4 linked regions of the Sus scrofa genome follow. The protein of the gene in region 3 interacts with the protein of the main gene of each other region in a biochemical or structural test. Links are inferred from orthologs where the notes say so. Each region holds a gene or a part of one and is shown on either strand. Other genes may lie near its edges.

Region 1 (5,170 bases), on a different chromosome or scaffold from region 3:
CGGGGTGCAGAAAGGGGCAGCCACTTTCGGTCCCTGCCCCACTGGCCATCTTGCCCTCACGCAAGCGCAGGACCGTCTGCGTGCTTCTCACGCCACTTCTTTACGTTGGCTCGGGGCCACGGCCCAGGCCCCGAGACCGTCCATCCCTGCTCATCTCTGGCCGCCGGCCCACCCCTGGGTCTCGAGGCCCCTCTGCATGTGCGCACCCTGCTGACTGCGGACTCAGGAGCTGTCGGGGCCCAGAGGGACGAGATGGGGCAGCCGCCAGCGCTTCCAGGCTCAGGAGACCCTCGGAGGGCCGGCCTCCCCGCCTCCCTTCAGACCTCAAACCTCAAAGAAATCTTGCAGCCAAGGGTGCAGGTTCTGGGGCGTCCGTGACACCTGACGGGAGCTGACTGTTTACTCCGAGAGGATCCCGTGGGCCCTGGCCACCTCCCCGCCAACCCCGGTGCGGTACCAAAGCCCTCTGAGCACCCGTGGGTCCGGCGGAGCCAGGCGAGCTGTGTGCATCCACCCTCCCTCCAAGGCGGCCGTGCCCAGACCGCCAGCCCCTCTGACGGCGCCCCTCGCACCCCAGCACCCAGGCGGCGGAGGAAACAGACTGGGAGGCCACGCACAGAGCCTGTCCTTCATGGATCTCTGCCCGTCTCGTCCGTCTGTCTGTCTGTCCGTCCACGCATACATCTGTCTGTCTGTGCGGGAGGTGAAAGGCGGACTCTCGTGTAAAAATCCAAAATACAACTCTACAAACCCCCGGGCGCTGGTCAGCCACGTGCGGCCGGGCCCGGCTAAGACCGCGGGGTGGGGGGGTGGAGCCCGAGCTGGACCCCACGCCCGACTGGAGACTCGACACTCGGCGCGGTCAGAGCGCGGTCGGTGGGGCAGGCGGGCAAAGGGCCTGTGCACTTCAGGGTCTTCCTCGCGTTTCCTGTCACCTCCGAGGCTCAGGTTTCGCGTCTGTAAAAAGGCCACCTTCACCTTCGTGCAGGGCAATGGGAGGCGCGACAGGCTCCGTGTGGAAAAGGTTTGGCTGCGGCAGGCAGAGGCCTGCTCGGCGGCCACGCACGCTCATCAGGTGCAGGGACCCCGGGAACCTCCAGGCTCTGCAGTGGCCCTCGAAGCCAGCACGGGGGCAACTGCGGGCTCCTGCACGGAGGACCAGCTCAGCAGGCTGGTGGGGCCCGCCTGGCTCCGGGCAGGGGAGAGGGCGGCCCTGCCTGTCCTGGGGTCTCTGGAAATGGTCCTTTGCCAGCTTGGAGTGGCCAGGGGTTTCACAGGGAGCTGGGGACCTGACCACGGAGACCGTGCTCCACCTGGACACTAGCCCCTCTCAAGCGATCCCTGAGTGTGGCACTCACTTGGGCCACCTGGGCTGGTGGCCTTGGCAAGGTCCGGTTCCTGGGAGAAAGAGGCCCTCAGTCTTGGCCAGAAGGGTCTGACTCCCATTATGTCCCAGGGGGCGTGGTGGTAGCACTCCCAAGGCCACACTCCCGGTCACCAAGTCCCCTCCCGCGGGAGCCCTTGCCTATTCAGCCGTGGCGCCGCACGGGGCGCATCTGACGGGACAAGGCTTTGGAAGGGCGGGCAAACCAACACGTGCCTCTGGAGCAGCGACCCGCTGGCCGGCCCCAGCTCCCAGGGCTGGCACCCGCCCGTGGTCATGCATCACGCAGACCACAGAGTCGACCACTGCACCTCCTCCTCCCCCTCATTCCCTGGGCCACAGGCAGAGGTTTTCTCCTGGTGGAACAATGAGCAAAGTTCCAGCACAAAGGGGAAGGGCCAAGGGCACAGGCGTCAGACCTGTCCGGGGCCTCCGACAGCAGGACTCCAGGCTGCGAGTCGGCAAAGGGCTCCAAGCGGACTTTGAGACAGAGGCCCGGGGGTCCTGTGGGCACCCTGCCGGCCCCAGGCAGGGGCTGGTCTCCTTTCTCAGGGCCAGCCCCACTGCGTCCTGCACCAAGCACACCCTACTCGCTCTGTGTACAGACTAAGGAGGATCAAAAGCTCTTGCTCCATGGCCGCTTGTCCCCAGGGAGACCATGCCTGGGGGCGCAGCCACCTTGAGTAGAGACCATCACGGGCTGGACCATGTCCGCTTTCCTGCTCCAGGCTTTGCCTGGAATACAGGCCGTGAGGCCTGGGGAGCAAGCTGACGCTGGCTGTGCTTCGCCTGGCCTGGAGCAGACTGAGAGGCGGGATGTCCCCACAGTAGGTTCATCCCAAAGGACCTCTGGTGCCCTCCCCCAAACGGGAGTTACGGGGAAGGGACAAGAAGAGGGAGAAGGGAAAAAGACAGAAAAATGGGGTCATTTCATTTGGCCGGCAAAGTTCAAGGCCTGGAACAAGGGGTGGTTCCCACCGTTAAAGAAACAGGGCCTGGGATGGAGAACGCCACATGGATATTTGCTGGGACAACACACAGTGTCCCCAAGGGAATGCAGCACGGTTTCTGGTCTCCTCAAAGGGACAAGTGGAACGAGAGAACGTGGCCTCCAGCTCTGGGCTCCTTTCAGCCCAGACTGCTCTTCCTTTCCAAGGGCTCAGCAGGATGACAGGCAACAACTCAGTGGGGTCCAAGAAATCCAGCGTTTGGGCGCTCAGGAGAGTAAGCACGTTTGGAGGCGCCCGGAGCCTGCCTACGACTACGGTGGCCTAGGCCACCCCCCTGCCAGCCGCGAGCCGTGGCTCCGACCTGCCCCACCTCGACGTCACAGCCAGGACGTCCATCTCCAAGTCCAACCTCCGCAAACTGGAGTTGTCCAGCCTGCGGAGTCAGACCATGTAAATCACCTGCCCGCTGCCAGGCAACGGGAGACAGGGCGTGAATAAAGTCGCGCACAGAGCAAGAAACACGAGTCGCTCTTGGGAAAGCAGCTCTGGGATCTGGACCCGGGCTCGAGACCAGCCTGAACTTTATGACGTTGTGCTTTCTGTTTTCGCTCCCTCTCCTTTCGAACTAGAGAAACGCCCTCCAGTTCCAGGGCCGAGACTTGATTTACCCTGAATAACTGCCCACCACACCACTGGAACTCTGGGGCCACCGGGGCCCAGCGTCCACTAGCGAAGCCGGGGGCTGTTCTAAGCACAGACGCGTCCCGCAGTCGTCCCACAGGCAGCAAGCGCAAGCCCACGGAGGCAGAAGCCCTTCCTACCCAACGCGGGAGAGCGGCGTGGACAGGAGCGACCTCCAGCGGGCCTGCGACGCTTCTCCCCGCACTACCCCCTGCTCCCCACCCCCACACCGGGCCTGCGAGGCGGGGTCCGGGCCTGCCCGTCCTGGGCCCCCGCGCCGCGGCCTCCCCGCCCCGGGCCGGCGCCCTCGGCCCCTCACCGGGCTCCAGCAGATAAGCGCGTCCGTGTCCGGGTCGCTCACGAGAGTCCAGAGCTTGGTCAGGAAGGCCGGGACGTTGCTGGGCCCCGCCGCGCCCGGGCCCACGGGCAGATCCATACCGGGCAAGGTGGGAGAGGCGGAGGCGGGACCGCGAGGAGGGGCTGAGGGCCGGGCTAGCGCCGCTGCCGCGCCTGCCGCCCGGGCCGCGCGCCGCCGCCCGCTGCGCACACACGGCCCCGGGGCCTGGCATGGCCGCCGCCATCTTGCGACGGGCGCGCTCCCGCCGGCGCCGCCCGCGTCCCACGGCGCGCGCACGCACACCGGCCCCCGTCCCGCCCGGCGCCCTCTGACCCCGCGGGCCCGCCCCCAGGCCCACGCGGTCGCGTCGCTGCCGGAAGTGGCGGCGCAGGGCAGACCGGCGGGCGGCATGGCGGGACCTCAGGGCGCGCGGCGCGTGGCGGTGGCCGGGACGCGGCCCGGGAAGCGGATGCTGGAGCCGGGGCGGGAGCCGGAGGAGGTGACGCGGGAGCGGGAGCGGGAGCGGGGGGGGGCGGCGGGGCTGGGCCGCGGCACCGGCCGGGGAGCGATCCCGCCCAGCGCCCGGCGGGCCTGGGAATGCGAGGAGGGAGGGGTCTCCTGTCCTCCGCCCCGGCGGCCTTGCGGGGGCGTCCTGGGCAGGGAGCTGGCTGGCGGTTGTGTGGGTCGGAAGAAGGTCTGGGCCGGAGAGAATAAGGAAGGAGAGCCGGCGTCCTGCGCAGCGGTCTTCCTGGGCCTTTGAATTGTCATCTGGGCGCAGAAGATTTGAGCCTGCAGTAGCTGCTTGTATAGCCAAATGTTCCTGACACGTTAGACGTTGTAGAAGAGGAAACGAGGATGAGAAAGCAGCGCCTGCTGCACTGGACGGCCCGTTTTAGCTGGACTCATGCTCTTCCTGTCCAGCGGAACCCCAGCCGCGCTGTGGGGGTGTCATCAAATCTCATCAAATCTCGGTGGTAGAAAGCCATAGCAGGCTTGTGCAGTCGAGCCTCGCAGCTGGGACTCCACGTTGCTGGTTTATCAGGCTGCCCCTTCACTTGTGACAAGTGCTCGTGGTGCTCCCTGGCCGGCAGGCAGCTCTGGGCACCATGCTCACCCACTTGTAGTGCTTTTGCCTCTGTATTCATCAGCGGCTGTTTGTGTTTGTGCCCAAAACATTTGTGCCATTTTTACTTGCCGTTGTAATTGTGTAGCTAGTTAGGCACGATAGAGTGTGTGCTGAGTGCTGTTTGGTAGCTGCTCCGTGCAGGCTGTCCAGTTTGGCGAGAGACTCAGGAACTATTGAAAAACAATGAAATCTAGAATTTTGCCTTCCAATGAATGCTTGCTAAGAGTCTGCAGGTTCTTGTTCCACCGTGCACCCTGTCTGGTGGAGTTAGGGCCGGGGTGGTGTCTGGTGGGCAGAAGTCTGCTCAGAAGCAGCTCTGGTCCTGCGCCACACAGAGCTGGTCACCGACAGTGTGCTCCTTGCAGCCCTCTCTCCCCGGCGCCCCGGCTCCCAGCCTGTCTGACAGCGAGGAGAGTGTGTTCTCAGGCCTGGAAGATTCTGGCAGTGACAGCAGTGAGGAGGAGGACGGGGCCAGCGGCGAGGAGCAGCACAGCAGGATGGAGAAGGCCACGGGGCAGCAGGTGGGTGAGCGAGCAGTGTTCTGGTGTGCTCGTCCTCGCTCTCCGGGCGGGTGGCCGGGAGAGTGCCTGCCAGCTCGCGGGCTCTGCTTTCTCTTTCCTCTGGTGCGGGGGGGGGGGGTTCTGAGCCCTAGGGCACCAGTTTTCAACCGCAGTAGGAACCCGGAAAATCTC
Region 2 (5,423 bases), on a different chromosome or scaffold from region 3:
GGTTCTGCAGACACCAGATCAGATGGGTTTTCTATCTGAAACCTGTCTTTCTGGGCTGATGCTGAACACTGTCTGCTGGGGAGGAGGCTGCAGCTAGAGTCCCTTCTAAGAAGTTGCCACGGTGTGTGTCCCCAGCATGACAGTGTGGGACTTTACTCTTAAATCTCTAAGGCTAATCATGCAGTGCCTTTCTTATTCCTACGAGGCTGGGCTTCATTTCTGGGTGAAATCGAGTTCACCCAGAATGAGAGTGGTGACTGAGTGGGGTGCCTCATCTTGGTCACATCGTTTCAGTCAAGCCAAGACTTTGTGATGCCCTTTTATTTCCACTCATCTCCACAGCCCAAGACAATCCAGGCCTATCTCGGTCAGCTGTGCCTGGAGAAGGCCTGCCTGGCATTATTTGCTTTTATCTGTTCCCTTCGTAAGACTCAGACTGCAAGGAGCAGGCAGTTATTCAACAGATAATTGCTTATTCAATTGTTAAACACATCTATATTCTCTTTAAATAAATTGACATATAAAACACTTAAAGCATTAGCAGTGCTGGCGCTGTTACAGGCACTCTCCGTAAGCACTCAGTGATTATGGATACTTTCACTATTATCCACTAGGGTCTTTTTGTAGGCTGAGAGCTTCTCCTAAACATCCTTTTTTTTTAGTTCCAGTCAAAGAAAAGTGCCAGGTGCACAGTAGGCACTCAACGAAAATTTCTTTATCAATGTGAAAACTGAAATATACTTAAAAACTTTAAATCTTTCACAGCCCTGAATAAATTGTTGATATGGGACAGACAACAGAACCAAAGAGATCCAGGAGGATGCTTGAGGATGCTTGAGAGCCCAGTCATGATGAACCAAAGATCTAAGGTTCGATCAGTGCCTCCATCTATTAGCCACAGACATTGAACAAACTACTCAATCTCTCTAAGCCTCAGTCTCCTCATCTGTAAAATGGGAAAACGGTGATGCCTAAGTCACATGTGACTCTGAGGATGAACAAAACGATGCATGTAAAATGCTAAACATGGTGTCTAAACCTTCAATAAATATTCCCTGTTATCACCGCTCTCCGCAGAACTCAAGACTAAGGCAACAGCCAACTGTCAACCCTCACCAGTACCTTGAAATCACATTCATGTTTTAAGCACCTTTTGTGGAAACTGAAACAGAACACTCCTCTAGCAATTATTTCCACACACAGCTTCATAGGTGACTGGTACAGGTCACCTCCCAGCCATTGTCTGAATTTCTTTGCAGCTGCTTCCCCTGGAAAATGACACAACACGACTGGTACCTCACTTGTGTCCCAGTGAAGACAATCACCCTAAAAGGCTCCAAGAGAAGAAGCCCACAGGACCTCCACCTCTCACCTCCAGCATCTGGGGAAGGAGAGGGCTCTGCTGGGCACTGAAGTACTCCACTGACAACTGATACACGACTGCTAGGAAGCTGGAGCCTTGATCCTGTATTGAAGAAACTTTGGTTTCCTCAGAGGGATTAAGTAACCTGCCCTAAACCACACAGCTAATAGAAGACAGAAGTGAATTATGAACCTAGACAGTGGCTGGCTATCCTAGATGAAAGTCTGGCTGTGGACCCTGAAGGAGGAAACAGTCTGTAAGCAAACAAACCTTAGGGCCATGCCCTTAGCCAGCCCAGGAGTTCAAGGGAGAAAGCTTGGGAATGACTCACTAGACTCACCCACAAATAATTTTACTGCCCCACAAAAGCCAAAGGTGAATACAACGGCGAAGAGCTGCAGCCTGAGAGTCCTGCCTTCTTCCACTTCCTCAAAGAATCTTCCAGCGCCCTGCACCAGGCACAGTGATGAGGGGATGACAGGAGCTTACACACCCTGACAGCACTGCTCTGCGCCCCAACCCCCTCACTCCATCCTCGCAGCAGCCGCCACCCCGGGCCCACCACTATCCCCATTACACAGACGGGCACAGAGAGGGCCAAGGCCTCACAGCAGAGAAACAGAGTGGGGGGGAGGGGGGGACTGAACCCACGGCTGCCCCACAAGGGAGCTCTCACTGTTAGCCAGCCCAGGCCCTTCCCACCCTTCCAAATCCATCCCCCCTTCTCTGCCAAATCCCGAAGAGCACCGGTGACCCAAGCCCGGCGACTAGGAGGGAAGGGAGGGACAAGCTGAGCAAGCAAGTGATGTTGGGGGCGGGCAGAGCTCTCTCCCTCAAGTTCAGTGGAGCCGTCGGGGCCGCCCAGTCCCTGGGGATCGAATCCCACCGACGGCGCTCGGGGTGGCAGGAGCGAGGGCAGCCGGACGGCCAGGGAGAACGCGGGCGAAAGGAGGGCAGGGCGGAAGCGCGGCGGCCGAAGTTACCGTTCCCACGGCGTCCAGAACTGGTGCTGTCTCAGTCCCTCCGCCCCGAGGGTCTGCGGCCGCTCCAACGAAAGCGAAAGTAAAGCCGCAACGCGGCCAGGGGAGGAGTCGCCCCGGGCAGGACGCCGACCCGGCGGGCGGGGCTGCGGGCCCCGCCTCCGACTCGGGACCCCGCGCTTCTCAGAGTCGGCCGCGCGCGGGACCACCGCGCCGCCGCGCCCCGTCGGGGAGGGCGCGCTCTCACGGTCGCGCGCGTCGTCGCGGAGGGCGCCCTCGGCAGGCAAAGCTGGTCGCGCGCACCGGACGCGTCCTGGGCAAAGTTTGCAGAGATCCACAGGGGTCCCGGAGCTGCGCGCGCAATCTCCAGGAGAAAGTTCTGCAGCGTCCACTGCGCTCCAAGTGACCTGAAGGGCGCGCTCCGCAGACCCGGCGCACGCAGCGTCCCAGTCGGGCGGACTGAAGAGTGCGCCCTGCCGACTTCGCGGCGCTTGATAATGGGGCGCTGGTCAGAGTCCACCTTCCTGCCCTCCCGCTGCCTCCGGTCTACACCGCGACTTCGGCCTCCGCACCGGCCCTGGGACCTGTTCCAAAGGCCCAACGGCTCCTCCTCAGCCAAATCCTGACCCTGATCGTCTATGCGGGGGACTGGGTGCCCGCATCTTCCTGAGTTACCGTCTCCCTAGGGCCAGCCGAGGGAGCCGCCGTGGTCTCCTGCCGCTCAGAACTTGCTTCCATTCGCTGACGCGCCTTCCTCACGCGTGGGCGGCAGGAACTAACAGTTTTCTGCAGAGCACGTCCACACCTCTTAACAGAGCCTGCTGGCCGGGACGTAGCGCCAGAATCATTCATGGACTATTTATTGAGCGCCCTCATGTGTCAGCCACTGGGTACTTGGCCATGAGTTAGTCTAAAACGGGAGAGAGTCTAATATGGTACTTTCACTCGTGCCACCTAACCCCCAGCCTTGCATCCCCAGGTCCCCCAACACCCATGCATGCTCCCACTTTTGTCTTTATTCAACCTGGGACCTCCAGCTGAGGCCTCCAAGGCCTTGCTCTCCAAGATTCCTCGGGGGAGCAGCTTATGCATGCAGTTACACTGAAGTGTAAATAGCTAAGGAGACCTGACAGTTTTATTCATACCAGAGATGTTTGCTTTGAAAGAACTATCAACGCCTTCAGTGAAAGGAACGAACCTTCTTCGTCGTGCATCATTAGGCAAGAACGCATCTCGTCTTTTTGTTTGCTGTCCCCTGGGCCTGAGACTTCAATATCGTCCATAATATCTTACCAGGTAAGGACGCTTCCTTGATTTAAGGAAGACTGGCCGCAGGCAAGTGTAAGGGAGTGATTATAATTTATTACCTTCTGCCAGAATCCTGAATTCCTGAATATTTCAAACAGGCAGTTACACTATTTCCACTATGGATGTGCTATAGGTTGTTTGGGCCACCTACCTCCCTGCCAAATTCCTATGTTGAAACTAAATCTCCAAAATGATGGCATTAGGAGGTGGGGGCCTTTGGGAGGTGCTTAAATCAGGAAGGTGGAGCCCTGGTGAGTGGGATTAGTGCCTTGATAAAAGAGGCCAGGCTGAGCATCCTGGCCTTTTCTATCATGTGAGGACATAGAAATTGCAGTCGGCTACCCCAACGTGGGCTCTGACTAGAACCCAACCATGCTGGCACCCTGATCTTAGCCTTCTGGCCTCCAGAACTGTGAAGAATACGTTTCTGGTGTTTATAAGCTATTCAGTTTCTGTCTTTTGTTATAGCAGCCAGAACAGACTAAGACAGGCTGCGCTACTCTTTTCTTTAACAGCCATGTTTCTGAAATGTCAAGGCGAGCCAAGTCATGGTAGACACAGAGTTAATTTTCTTTTTGAAGGAATTCAGTGGTGAATCATTTGAGAAATGGAATAAAAAGCCTATTAGTAGGGCAAATAGGTTACCCTATGATTTATCGCATTTATGAATTCAAGTTTTGCAGGTTATTCGTGAAATAAGATGAAACACGGTGTTAGATATGGGAGCCACCTTCACAACTAATCCCTCTGCTGGTATTATAGATACAGAATCTGAGGCTCAGAGAGGTTGTCCACACTACAGGCATGCTAGTGGCAGAACCAGGATCAGGTTGCCTAGAAAAATAATGTATTTTCCATCCACAAGAAAGGTCTACCATAGATTATATGAAGCAATTTTGTTTACATGTGTCACACACAGGAATTCGTTGCTGGCTCAGATAGGAAGATGATTTTAAGGAAAACTTTCTTTTTTTATTTTTTACTTTAATGATTTTTATTTTTTTCCATTATAGCTGGTTTACAGTGTTCTGTCAATTTTCTACTGTACAGCAAGGTGACCCAGTCACACATACATGTATACATTCTTTTTTCTCACATTATCATGCTGCGTCATAAAGAAAACTTTCTTTTTTCAGTTCTGTAGTGTAGTTCTCTTATTGCTCCGAGGCTGAATTATCACAGTACCAACAACTAAAATCATAGATACATGAAAGGGAAGAAACAATTTTGAACTTTTCCCTCTATAATAATTGTACTAACCCTTTAGATCCAAATGATATTCTATTCTAATTGTATTTCCTGTGTTTCTCCAGCCTCGGTCCATGTCATTGTTTTATGCCTCCTTTCCAAACTTTAGAGCTTGTGTCTTCCTCTTCACTCCAGAAAAATCCCCATCTCCATTGTTCAGATGATTTCCAAGGGCTGGATTCAGGGATGCTCCTGGGCTGGTCCCTCTGGTCCTTGCCTCCAGCCTTCTCTGCTGGTCACAGGCTGTTCCTGCTAACCCTGCTGAGCTCCCTAATCTCACCCTCACTCTGTTGGGCACCTCATCCCCAAGGGGTGCCACCAGTGATTGCTTCTCCAGCTGTTCACAGGACAGCTCAGGCCAGGCTGTGACTTTCTAAAGAACTCCACTGAAGAATAATCTCTTGAATAACAGAAATGCCCCTCTTAGGACTCACAGGTCCAACCCCAGACTCTGGCTGAGGCACCAGCAGACTTCTGCAAAGGGTAGGGGGAAAGAATTCCCTGAAAGGAGGAATTGTGGCTGT
Region 3 (5,450 bases):
TGTGGACAGGTTCGTTTATGCTATATATTAGATTCCAGATATAAGTGATATTATATGGTATTTGACTTTCTCTTTCTGACTTACTTCACTTAGTAAAGCAAAGTAAGATTTTAACCAATGCCAGCGATGCTGTTTGTCTCTGACCATTCGTTACTTTAAGTACAAGATACCAAAAAGAATGACCTCAAATAGCTCATAACCATTTTATCTTACATCTCGTGTTATTAGATAAATAGGTCCAACCTAAAATTAGAGTTAAAATAACTAAAAAAAAAAAAAAAAAGAAAGGAGATAAAGTAGCACCCCCTGCAGGGGATTTGAGCTGGTCTTAAAAGGAGCAGTCCTAAAATCCCAGCCTTCTCCAGTTGAGAGAGCTTTTATGCAAACTATTGGACAAAACTTAAAAACTTGATTAAAAGAAATCTACCTAGAAAATCATGACTGAAGAGCAATCACATGATAAAAAAATACACTCTAAAACCTTCAAGATGTCCAGCATAAAAGTCTCTCCAGGAGTTCCCAGCCTTGCCCAGGAGAAACGAATCCGACTAGGAACCATGAGGTTGCAGATTCGATCCCTGGCCTCACTCAGTGGGTTAAGGACATGGCATTGCCATGAGCTGTGTGGTGTAGGCAGCAGACCAGGCTCAGGCCTGGCATTTGCTATGGCTGTGGCGTAGGCCAGCATCTGTAACTGATTCAACCCCTAGCCTGGTAACCTCCAGATGCCACAGGTGCAGCCTTAAAAAGCAAAAAGTCTCTCCACAGCTAAAAAAAAAGTTTATAGAACCCAACAAAATGAATCTTCATCAGCCAGATTCTCTCTAGAGCTGGATGACCCATTAGAAGTCTTTTCCGGAGTCCCCGCTGTAGCTCAGTGGTTAACGAACCCGAGACTAGGAACCATGAGGTTGCGGGTTCAATCCCTGGCCTTGCTCAGTGGGTTAAGGATCCAGCGTTGCTGTGAGCTGTGGTGTAGGGTGCAGACGCAGCTCAGATCCCGAGTTGCTGTGGCCCTGATGTAGGCTGGCAGCTACAGCTCTAATTAGGCCCCTAGCCTGTGAACCTCTATATGCTTGGGGTGCGGCCCTAGAAAAGACAACAACAAAAATAAAAGTCTTCTCCAGCTCAAGTAACTGACTGGTAATATTCATCTTGTAAATTCATTCAGTCATTAATTAATAAGATCCCCTAAAGAATTTGCAAGATGTCATATATTGACTAAACAGAGTAAAATTTACCTGGTCTCTTCAAAACACTCATTTTCAAAATAGCATTCTTCTAATTATAGATTGCTTTTTGGAATACTGATTGTTAGACTTTTCATTGAGTTCTTTATATAACTTAACATTTCTTACCTATTTACCAATTCTACATGATCTCTGAAAAGTGTTTCTACTTCAAACCGTATTAAACATGTTATCTCTTCATATAAAGATATTTCTTGTTCCGCTACATTAGTTTACTAAAAGTTGGTAATGCTTTATCTCCAGATTCATTTTCTCACAAATGACAATCCTGCTACATTATTTGGAATAGAAATTTCAAAAAGAAAAGTACAAGTTCTTTTACACAGATTAAAGTCTTCTATTACATACCACTTCTTGGGATGGGGGAAATCCTTCCAAAATTCTAACATGTCATTTTACAGTAATACATGCATTCTTCTCAAACCTTCTTCTCCATCAATTGGCTACAGTGTATCCTTATTCATTTAGACATCTAATTCAATATACTCACCACAAATATCACCATTTTACTAGGTAAACCCTTGAAAATCCATTACTTTTTATAGAAATAAAAATTCTTCCCCTCAATTGATCTCCATAGGTAACTTTCAGGAGTACGTGGTACCAAAAAACTGTAAAATAGGCAGTTCTCACATCTGAAAAGGTAAGGCTTTTCCTGAAAAGAATGTAAAGCTGGGAATGGCAATGCAAGAGACCGCACTCGGTTAAAATGTTTTCCTTTATCATAAAACTAAGACTTTTAAAAGATCTGAAATTACCCCCACGTAAACAAACTTAAGGCAACAAAAAGGCAATTACCTACCTGTTTCATCCTTAAATTAAAATAGGATAACGAAACCTCACCTAAAGTTTCACAGAAAATATCCCTAAGTATCTTTCAACTCTAACAAGTGCAGAACTCCCTGCTCAATTGTAAAGCCTCGCTACCAGGGAAACGGCTGAGTTTTGGCAACCTCCACTCCCTTCGCGAGACTGAGTTAAGAAGAAGCCTGGAAACACCCATACTCTGGCAATCACGACACCGAGAGGGAAGTAAGTTGCGGCGACAGCATGGCCTCCCTCCCTCCAGTTGCCTAGCAGTACCTGTCGCTCGCAGTGGAGGGCCGCGTGGTGCCTTACGAAGAGCACCAGCAGCTGTGGGGTAGGACCCACCGCAGGTGCACTTGTCCCCGGGCCTGGTCCCAGCATCACACAGCGGCAGAAGCAGACCTAGGTCGCTAGGAGCGGAGTGGCAGCCCACGAGGGTCCACGCCTCCGAGGCGCCCGCGTGGCCAAAAGCTCACAGGAGATTAAGGCCTAAGGCTAAGTTACGAAGAGTTGGGAGCAGCCCTCACTGCCGAAGGGGGAAAGTGGGGTTTCCGGCACGGGGAAGCAAAGGGAAGGTTTAGAGATGGGGGAAGCGGACATCTGGAGGAAAAATGTCCTCCACCCGCCAACGGTAACCGGAACAAGGATACTGGACCTCCCACCCCCAAGCAAGAACGAATGCTACCGAGGGGGAAAAAGCCGAGGGAGCCGAAAGCGGGGGAGGGGAAGGGATGGCTTCCCGGCACCCCCCCGCGCGGCCTCGGCCTCCCTCCAGGGCGACCTTCCCTGGGTGGCGTGTCGCACTCACATCGTGAACGGGGCAAGGGGACGGGCGAACGGGTGGGCGGGCCTCTCCGGCGGCAGCTGGTAGGCAGTCGACTCCTCTCCGGTGGCGACTCTGGCGTCCTCTCCCCGATTGCGGCCTCTTTTCGCTTTTCCCTCAAGCGACGGCGGCGGCGCGGCGGGCTAGACCTGGGTTCCCAGAATGCACCGCGCGGGCAGAGCGACTCCTCCGGTCGGGGAGAAAAGGAAAGTGTAGGAAAAGGGGCGCGAGAACGGAGAATGAACGTGCGTGCGTGCGAGCGAGGGGTGGTGAGGCCGGGCGGCGGCTGGTGACGCAGCAAAATGCCCGGGCCCAGCCGCCGCGCGTGCGCACTCTTTGTTTTCGGGCTCCTGCGCGGCTTTCTAGAGATATCTACGGAAAGGGCGGGGCTTCCCAGCTCCTTCGCGATCCTTCCCGGGGCTGGCCCCGCCCCACGTCGGCTGCCTCCGGCTCGACTGGTTCCCGCCGCTTTGCCCGCTCCCCCCTCCTCGCGGTGGAAACCGTTGGTCGCCTAACCGCCCTGCCACGCGCCTTGGGCGATCTCCCCGAGAAACTGTCGCGTTAACCGAGGGAGGAAGGCCGAGGCGGATGGACGCAGAGTCTGGAGGCTTGAAAAGTGAAATAGGGGATCGGTTACTTGAGGGAGTACATCGGCTCACTGAGAAAACAGTCTACGGCAAAAAGATGGGCAAAGCCTCCGCTGGTGATATTTGAGGGAAAGGGCTAACCTGAGTCACAGGCCTGGGTCCTCCTCGCCGTCTTTCTGAGGGGTGGAGAACCTGTCCAGGGGCCGCGGAAATTCGAGGTCTTTGGCTGACCGGCATTCGCACCTGCTTTGATGCGAGAGGAAAGTTATTAAATGAGTCTAAGTTTGCGGGAATGGAGAGACCAGGACACTTGGAGTCTCCAGGCTGATCCTGTAGGGGAGGGGGGAAACCTCATCTTTTTTCAGCTGTTACCTGGTTAGGTGCTAATGGGTGTTACTAACCAAGAGAATCAAAATGGTAACTTGTCCACTCTAGAAATCGCTTAGCCGGGAAGTAAGGGAGAAATACATCAATACGCTGCTTGTTAGGACACAGAGGAGGTTTAAGGAAAGTGCCGTAAGACATTTTGGAGAGTGTTTGGAAGCTTCATATGCAGCATTAATTAGTGTCTATGCTATGCAAGGCAGGTGTTGGGAACTACAGACATTGGACCCTAGGCTCCAATCCTGTTAAAGAAAGTTAAACCCCAGCTCTCAAATACTGTGATTCTGGAGTTCCATTGTGGCTCAGCAATAACAAACTGGATTATCCATGAGGATGCGGGTTCGATCCTTAGCCTCAGTGGGTTAAGGGTGGGGAGCTGCCATCAGCTGTGGTGTAGGTTGCAGATTGCGGCTCAGATCTGGCCTTGCTGTGGCTGTGGGTAGGCCAGCAACTACAGCTCTGATTTGACCCCTAGCCTGGCAGCTTCCATATACTGCCCACGTAGCCCTTTAAAAAAAAAAAAAAAAAAAATACTGTCATTCTAAGGAGCCTACTGCTTATTTCGGAAAACAAAATACATCAAGATGTTTGAGTCTGGAGTTCCTTTCCTGGCTCAGCAGAAACGAACTGGATTAGGATCCATGTGGATGCGAGTTTGATCCTTGACCTTGCTCAGTGGGTTAAGGATCCAGCTTTGCGGTCAGCTGGGGTGTAGGTTGCAGACAAGGCTCAGACCCCAAGTTGCAGTGGTGTGGTGAAGGCCAGCAGCTACAACTCCAATTCCACTGGTAGCCTCTTTTTAGGGCTGCTCCCGCGGCATATGGAGGTTCCCAGACTAGAGGTTGAAATCTGAGCTGCAGCTGCCCGGCCTACAGCACAGCCATAGTAACGCCAGATCCTTAACCCACTGAGTGAGGCCAGGGATAGAACCTGCTTCCTCATGGATACTAGACAGGTTCGTTTCTGCTGAGCCACTATGGGAACTCTGATTTTCTTTTTCAACCCTTTAAAAATGTAAAAATCATTCTTGAAGGCCATGCAAAGATTAGTGGTTGCAGAAAGTTTACCAATCTCTGACCTAGGTAATCCAGAGTGTAGAGGGAAGGTAGGTCATAAATAATGGTGGCACTAATTATCAGGCTAATTGTTTTTGACTTATTTCTATGACAGTGGGAAGCTATTGAAGTTTTTTTGAATGGGAGTAACATTTGTGTTCTAAAAAGATTAATTTGGCAACAACATAAGATGAACTGAAAATGGAACTGAATTGAAGATAGGCATTTAAAAGTCTGCAACCTGAAAAAACTGGCAATTTCCCCTATCAAGTGCTGTGAGAAAAACTGCCTTTCACACAAGAAATTTCTGAAAATTCAAATCCATTGCATCATAATTTATAGTTTATTTACTACTCCCATTGGATATATTTCAAAGGATTTCATGTTAGTGTAGCTCTGGAAGTGGCTCCTCAGAAGTTTCACAGATAACTTGTAATCTGGTTTTATCCATGCCTTTAATCTCATCCATTAGCTGATGGGAGCTAACTGTATCAGATCTCTTTTTCAAATTCATCAAAAAGTTCTGTATCCAGTAGGGAGCAAA
Region 4 (3,351 bases), on a different chromosome or scaffold from region 3:
TTAACTGTGATTACCATTCACTTACCAAGCACTAACTAGGCCCACTGAGCACTAAGTGACAGGCCTCTCACACCACGAACCCCAGTCCGCTCCCTCCCCCCGTTAATCACTGTCACTTCTCACATGGAGCCTTAAGCTCAGGATCCAAATCCTAAGAAGGAAGGGCACGGATGGTGTCAGATGGGACGGTCTTTAAGCCTCGTAAAGGGCTTTCGGCTGCTCCAACGGCCAGGGCAGTGAGAGCTGTGTTTAGAGCATCAGCTGTCTCTACAAACACCTCCAGACAGTGCAGACGGGAGACTCCCAAGGGAGAGCGGGGCTTAGAAAACACATGGGAAGGCCACCTTGCTGGAGTCCCCCTTCTCTCCCGGATTCGGGCCCACCCCCTGCCACCTGTATGTGCCCCGGGAGTCACACCGCTGAGACCGAGGGCGGCCAGCGTGAACCATCTTCTGCCCAGCCTCCCCCACGCAGGCAGGGCGTGTGCCGCCCCAGGTCTGATATCGCGGGACCACCCTGGATCTTCCACCCGCCTGGCCCCCCGACAAGACATGTTCACACCGTGTCTGTTTAATTCATCTGTATTTGTTTCAACTCCGGAAGCAGAATGCGACTTCGGCGCTACATCTCCACTCACGACGCTTGCAGAGTTACTTCTCAAACAGCTTTACCACATGCCTAGGTGGGCTTTTGACTTCGGGTCCCTAAACATTACATTTCTTTGGAAACAAGCCCTAAGGATAGCTACTCCCATCAACGGGGTTCATCCTAACTCCTAGAGGACTGATACATGCAGTCAACAGCTACAGGGGATGGGAGGTTTCAAAGGTAGAGCCCAAATCTACTCGTTGCTTGAACAAGTATTTTTCTCCTAAACATCAAGATATACTCCACAACACTTCAGTGACAAAAGGTGGTCAACTAAGGAATCCGCTTGAGAGCTGAACACAGACCAAGAAGTTAACATCAGGGTACACACACCTCACAGCACGAGGGCCGTCTGTTAAAGAAGCCAACTGGAACTAGGAAAGGACAAGCTCGGCTTTAGTGCTCAAATGTCACAGTGTCACACTTAGTACAAAGGAATCTTATTTTCCCTTAAGGAACTGTCATGCCATACAACCTTTAAATGTTAACAAAAATAAAATACTTGAAAATATATCGTCAGAGGGAATGCAGACAGCGTTTTAACAGGGGACAAGCAAGCCTCAGGCGGAGCCTAATCGACTTCCTCCATGCGGGACGTGTCGTCGTCCCCTTCCAGGGGTGGCATCTCCTCCGTCACAGCAGCGCTGCTGTCGTCGGCGGTGGGGTCGTCCTCATCAATACCTTTTTGGAGATAAAACCCGTGTTTTAGATCTCTTGAGGCCAGCTCATCAGCCTAATACTGCAGGTTTGTGGCTGAGCCGTCACAGCATCTATGAACCTGTTTTTTATTCCTTAGAAATGAAAAACCCATCTATCTACCCCCTTAAACTCTGAGGACTTCAGCGCTTCCTCCCCCAAATGAACTGGAATAGCCCAATTTCACTCAAATTGCTGGCAGCCCCCCCTTTCCAGTCGCCGGGTTCCTTCCCTGACGGTGTTGCGCACGGCACCTGCAGAACGGCGGGCGGCTTACCAAGACCAAGTTTGATCATCCTGTAGATCCTGTTGGCGTGCGTCTGGGGATCTTCCAGGCTGAAGCCAGAAGACAGCAGAGCGGTTTCGTACAGCAGGATGACCAGATCCTTCACGGACTTGTCGTTCTTGTCCGCCTCTGCCTTTTGCCTCAGGGTCTCGATGATGGAATGGTCTGGATTTATCTCCAGGTGCTTCTTTGCTGCCATGTAACCCATTGTCGAGTTGTCTCTCAGGGCTTGAGCCTTCATGATTCTCTCCATGTTTGCTGTCCAGCCGTATGTGCTTGTGACAATGCAGCACGGTGAGGTCACCAACCGGTTCGACACAACCACCTGTGAACGAGACATTAAGTGGTAACTGGGCCTCGAAAAAGCTTACCTAACTCCTCAGAACCTGTCATCAGCTTTAACAGGAAAAATTTTAACTCAACTACTATTGAATTAACAGTTGAATCAAAATTAAACACAGATGCTCACAGCTTTCTTCCTAGAGCTTCTGCACTTTTCAGATCTTTAAAAGCTACTTGTGACCTCCTGAACAGACAACTAACCCCTCCTGAGGAAGGCCCACAACTAGGAGATCTAAGTGGGAAACGTATGGTCACACACCTTTTCGACTTTCTTCTCCAAGATGTCCTTCATGATCTTGCAGAGGTTTTCAAACTTTGTCTTCTTCTCCTCCTGTTTCTTCTTCTCCTCTTCATCTTCCGGGAGCTCCAGGCCCTCTTTGGTGACTGACACTAAGGTCTTCCCCTCAAACTCCTTCAGCTGCTGCACACAGTACTCATCGATGGGCTCGATCATGTAGATCACCTCCAGGCCGTGCTTCCGCAGACGTTCCACGAAGGCCGAGTTGGCCACCTGGTCCTTGGTCTCACCTGAGATGTTCGAAAGTTTAAGACTGTTCACAGGAGGTGGCTGCATCTCCTGTCTTTCCCTACATAATCAGATCTTTCTTTCTACAGATGAAGATTAGCTCTCACTGCCTAAATCAACACCTAACTCACACGCAGCACCATGTGGGTAGAGAACTCCCAGCTGTTCCTATGGAATCCCAGAGCAAGAGGCATGACGATTACACCCATCTCGCCTTACCTGTGATGTAATAGATGTGTTTCTGGTTCTCCTTCATTCTGGTGCAATAGTCCTTGAGGGAAACCATCTCGTCGCCAGAAGCAGAAGTGTAGTACCTCAACAGCTCGGAAAGCTTCTTCCGATTTTGAGAATCTTCATGTATTCCAAGCTGAAACAAACAATGGTAGCTTCAACAAAACTTGGCCTTAAAAACAAATTCATTGAAAAGGAGAAGTAGTTTGGTTACAGCTGTTGTCACACGATTACCTACCTTAATATTTTTAGAGAACTGCTCATAGAACTTCTTGTAATTCTCTTTATCTTCGGCCAATTCAGTAAAGAGCTCCAAGCATTTCTTGACCAGATTCTTCCTGATGACTTTCAAAATTTTGCTTTGTTGCAACATCTCACGAGAAATGTTCAGAGGAAGATCCTCAGAGTCCACCACGCCTCTAATGAAATCTGGAAAAGCATGCCAAATGCACTCAAAATCACTCCGACAAAAATCAACAAACAGCTAAACCCAAAGAGAACGCAGTTTTCCCCATGCATTTCCAAGTCTGGAATTCCGTCTCTGGTGGCACAGTGGGTTAACGATCTGGCAACGCACTGAAGTAGCTCGGGTCTCTGCTGTGGCGTGGGTGTGACCCCTGGC

Evidence for each region.
Region 1: the proteins of PTGES3 (region 3) and HSF1 form a complex in vitro, tested with the Homo sapiens proteins (2 studies listed by BioGRID). The link is inferred for Sus scrofa from reciprocal best matches to the Homo sapiens genes PTGES3 and HSF1.
Region 2: of the proteins of PTGES3 (region 3) and CASP7, one has a biochemical effect on the other in vitro, tested with the Homo sapiens proteins (2 studies listed by BioGRID and IntAct). The link is inferred for Sus scrofa from reciprocal best matches to the Homo sapiens genes PTGES3 and CASP7.
Region 4: the proteins of PTGES3 (region 3) and HSP90AA1 form a complex in vitro, tested with the Homo sapiens proteins (10 studies listed by BioGRID). The link is inferred for Sus scrofa from reciprocal best matches to the Homo sapiens genes PTGES3 and HSP90AA1.

The regions. Positions count from the first base shown.
Region 1 is NC_010446.5:482,852-488,021, forward strand, and holds the start of HSF1 (heat shock factor protein 1), read right to left. Parts: upstream 3,615-5,170; 5' UTR 3,597-3,614; coding exon of another isoform or gene 3,452-3,596; coding exon 3,335-3,451; intron 1-3,334. Other genes in the region: ribosome biogenesis protein BOP1, read left to right, coding at 3,762-3,851, 4,844-4,999. UniProt on the Homo sapiens protein: Functions as a stress-inducible and DNA-binding transcription factor that plays a central role in the transcriptional activation of the heat shock response (HSR), leading to the expression of a large class of molecular chaperones, heat shock proteins (HSPs), that protect cells from cellular insult damage.
Region 2 is NC_010456.5:124,015,546-124,020,968, reverse strand, and holds the start of CASP7 (caspase-7), read right to left. Parts: upstream 3,100-5,423; 5' UTR 3,082-3,099; coding exon of another isoform or gene 3,076-3,081; exon of another isoform or gene 1,704-3,075; intron 1-1,703. UniProt on the Homo sapiens protein: Thiol protease involved in different programmed cell death processes, such as apoptosis, pyroptosis or granzyme-mediated programmed cell death, by proteolytically cleaving target proteins.
Region 3 is NC_010447.5:22,018,476-22,023,925, forward strand, and holds the start of PTGES3 (prostaglandin E synthase 3), read right to left. Parts: upstream 3,225-5,450; 5' UTR 2,868-3,224; coding exon 2,866-2,867; exon of another isoform or gene 2,334-2,865; intron 1-2,333. UniProt on the Homo sapiens protein: Cytosolic prostaglandin synthase that catalyzes the oxidoreduction of prostaglandin endoperoxide H2 (PGH2) to prostaglandin E2 (PGE2).
Region 4 is NW_018084979.1:916,509-919,859, forward strand, and holds the end of HSP90AA1 (heat shock protein HSP 90-alpha), read right to left. Parts: intron 3,159-3,351; coding exon 2,968-3,158; intron 2,866-2,967; coding exon 2,718-2,865; intron 2,501-2,717; coding exon 2,232-2,500; intron 1,956-2,231; coding exon 1,622-1,955; intron 1,330-1,621; coding exon 1,220-1,329; 3' UTR 992-1,219; downstream 1-991. UniProt on the Homo sapiens protein: Molecular chaperone that promotes the maturation, structural maintenance and proper regulation of specific target proteins involved for instance in cell cycle control and signal transduction.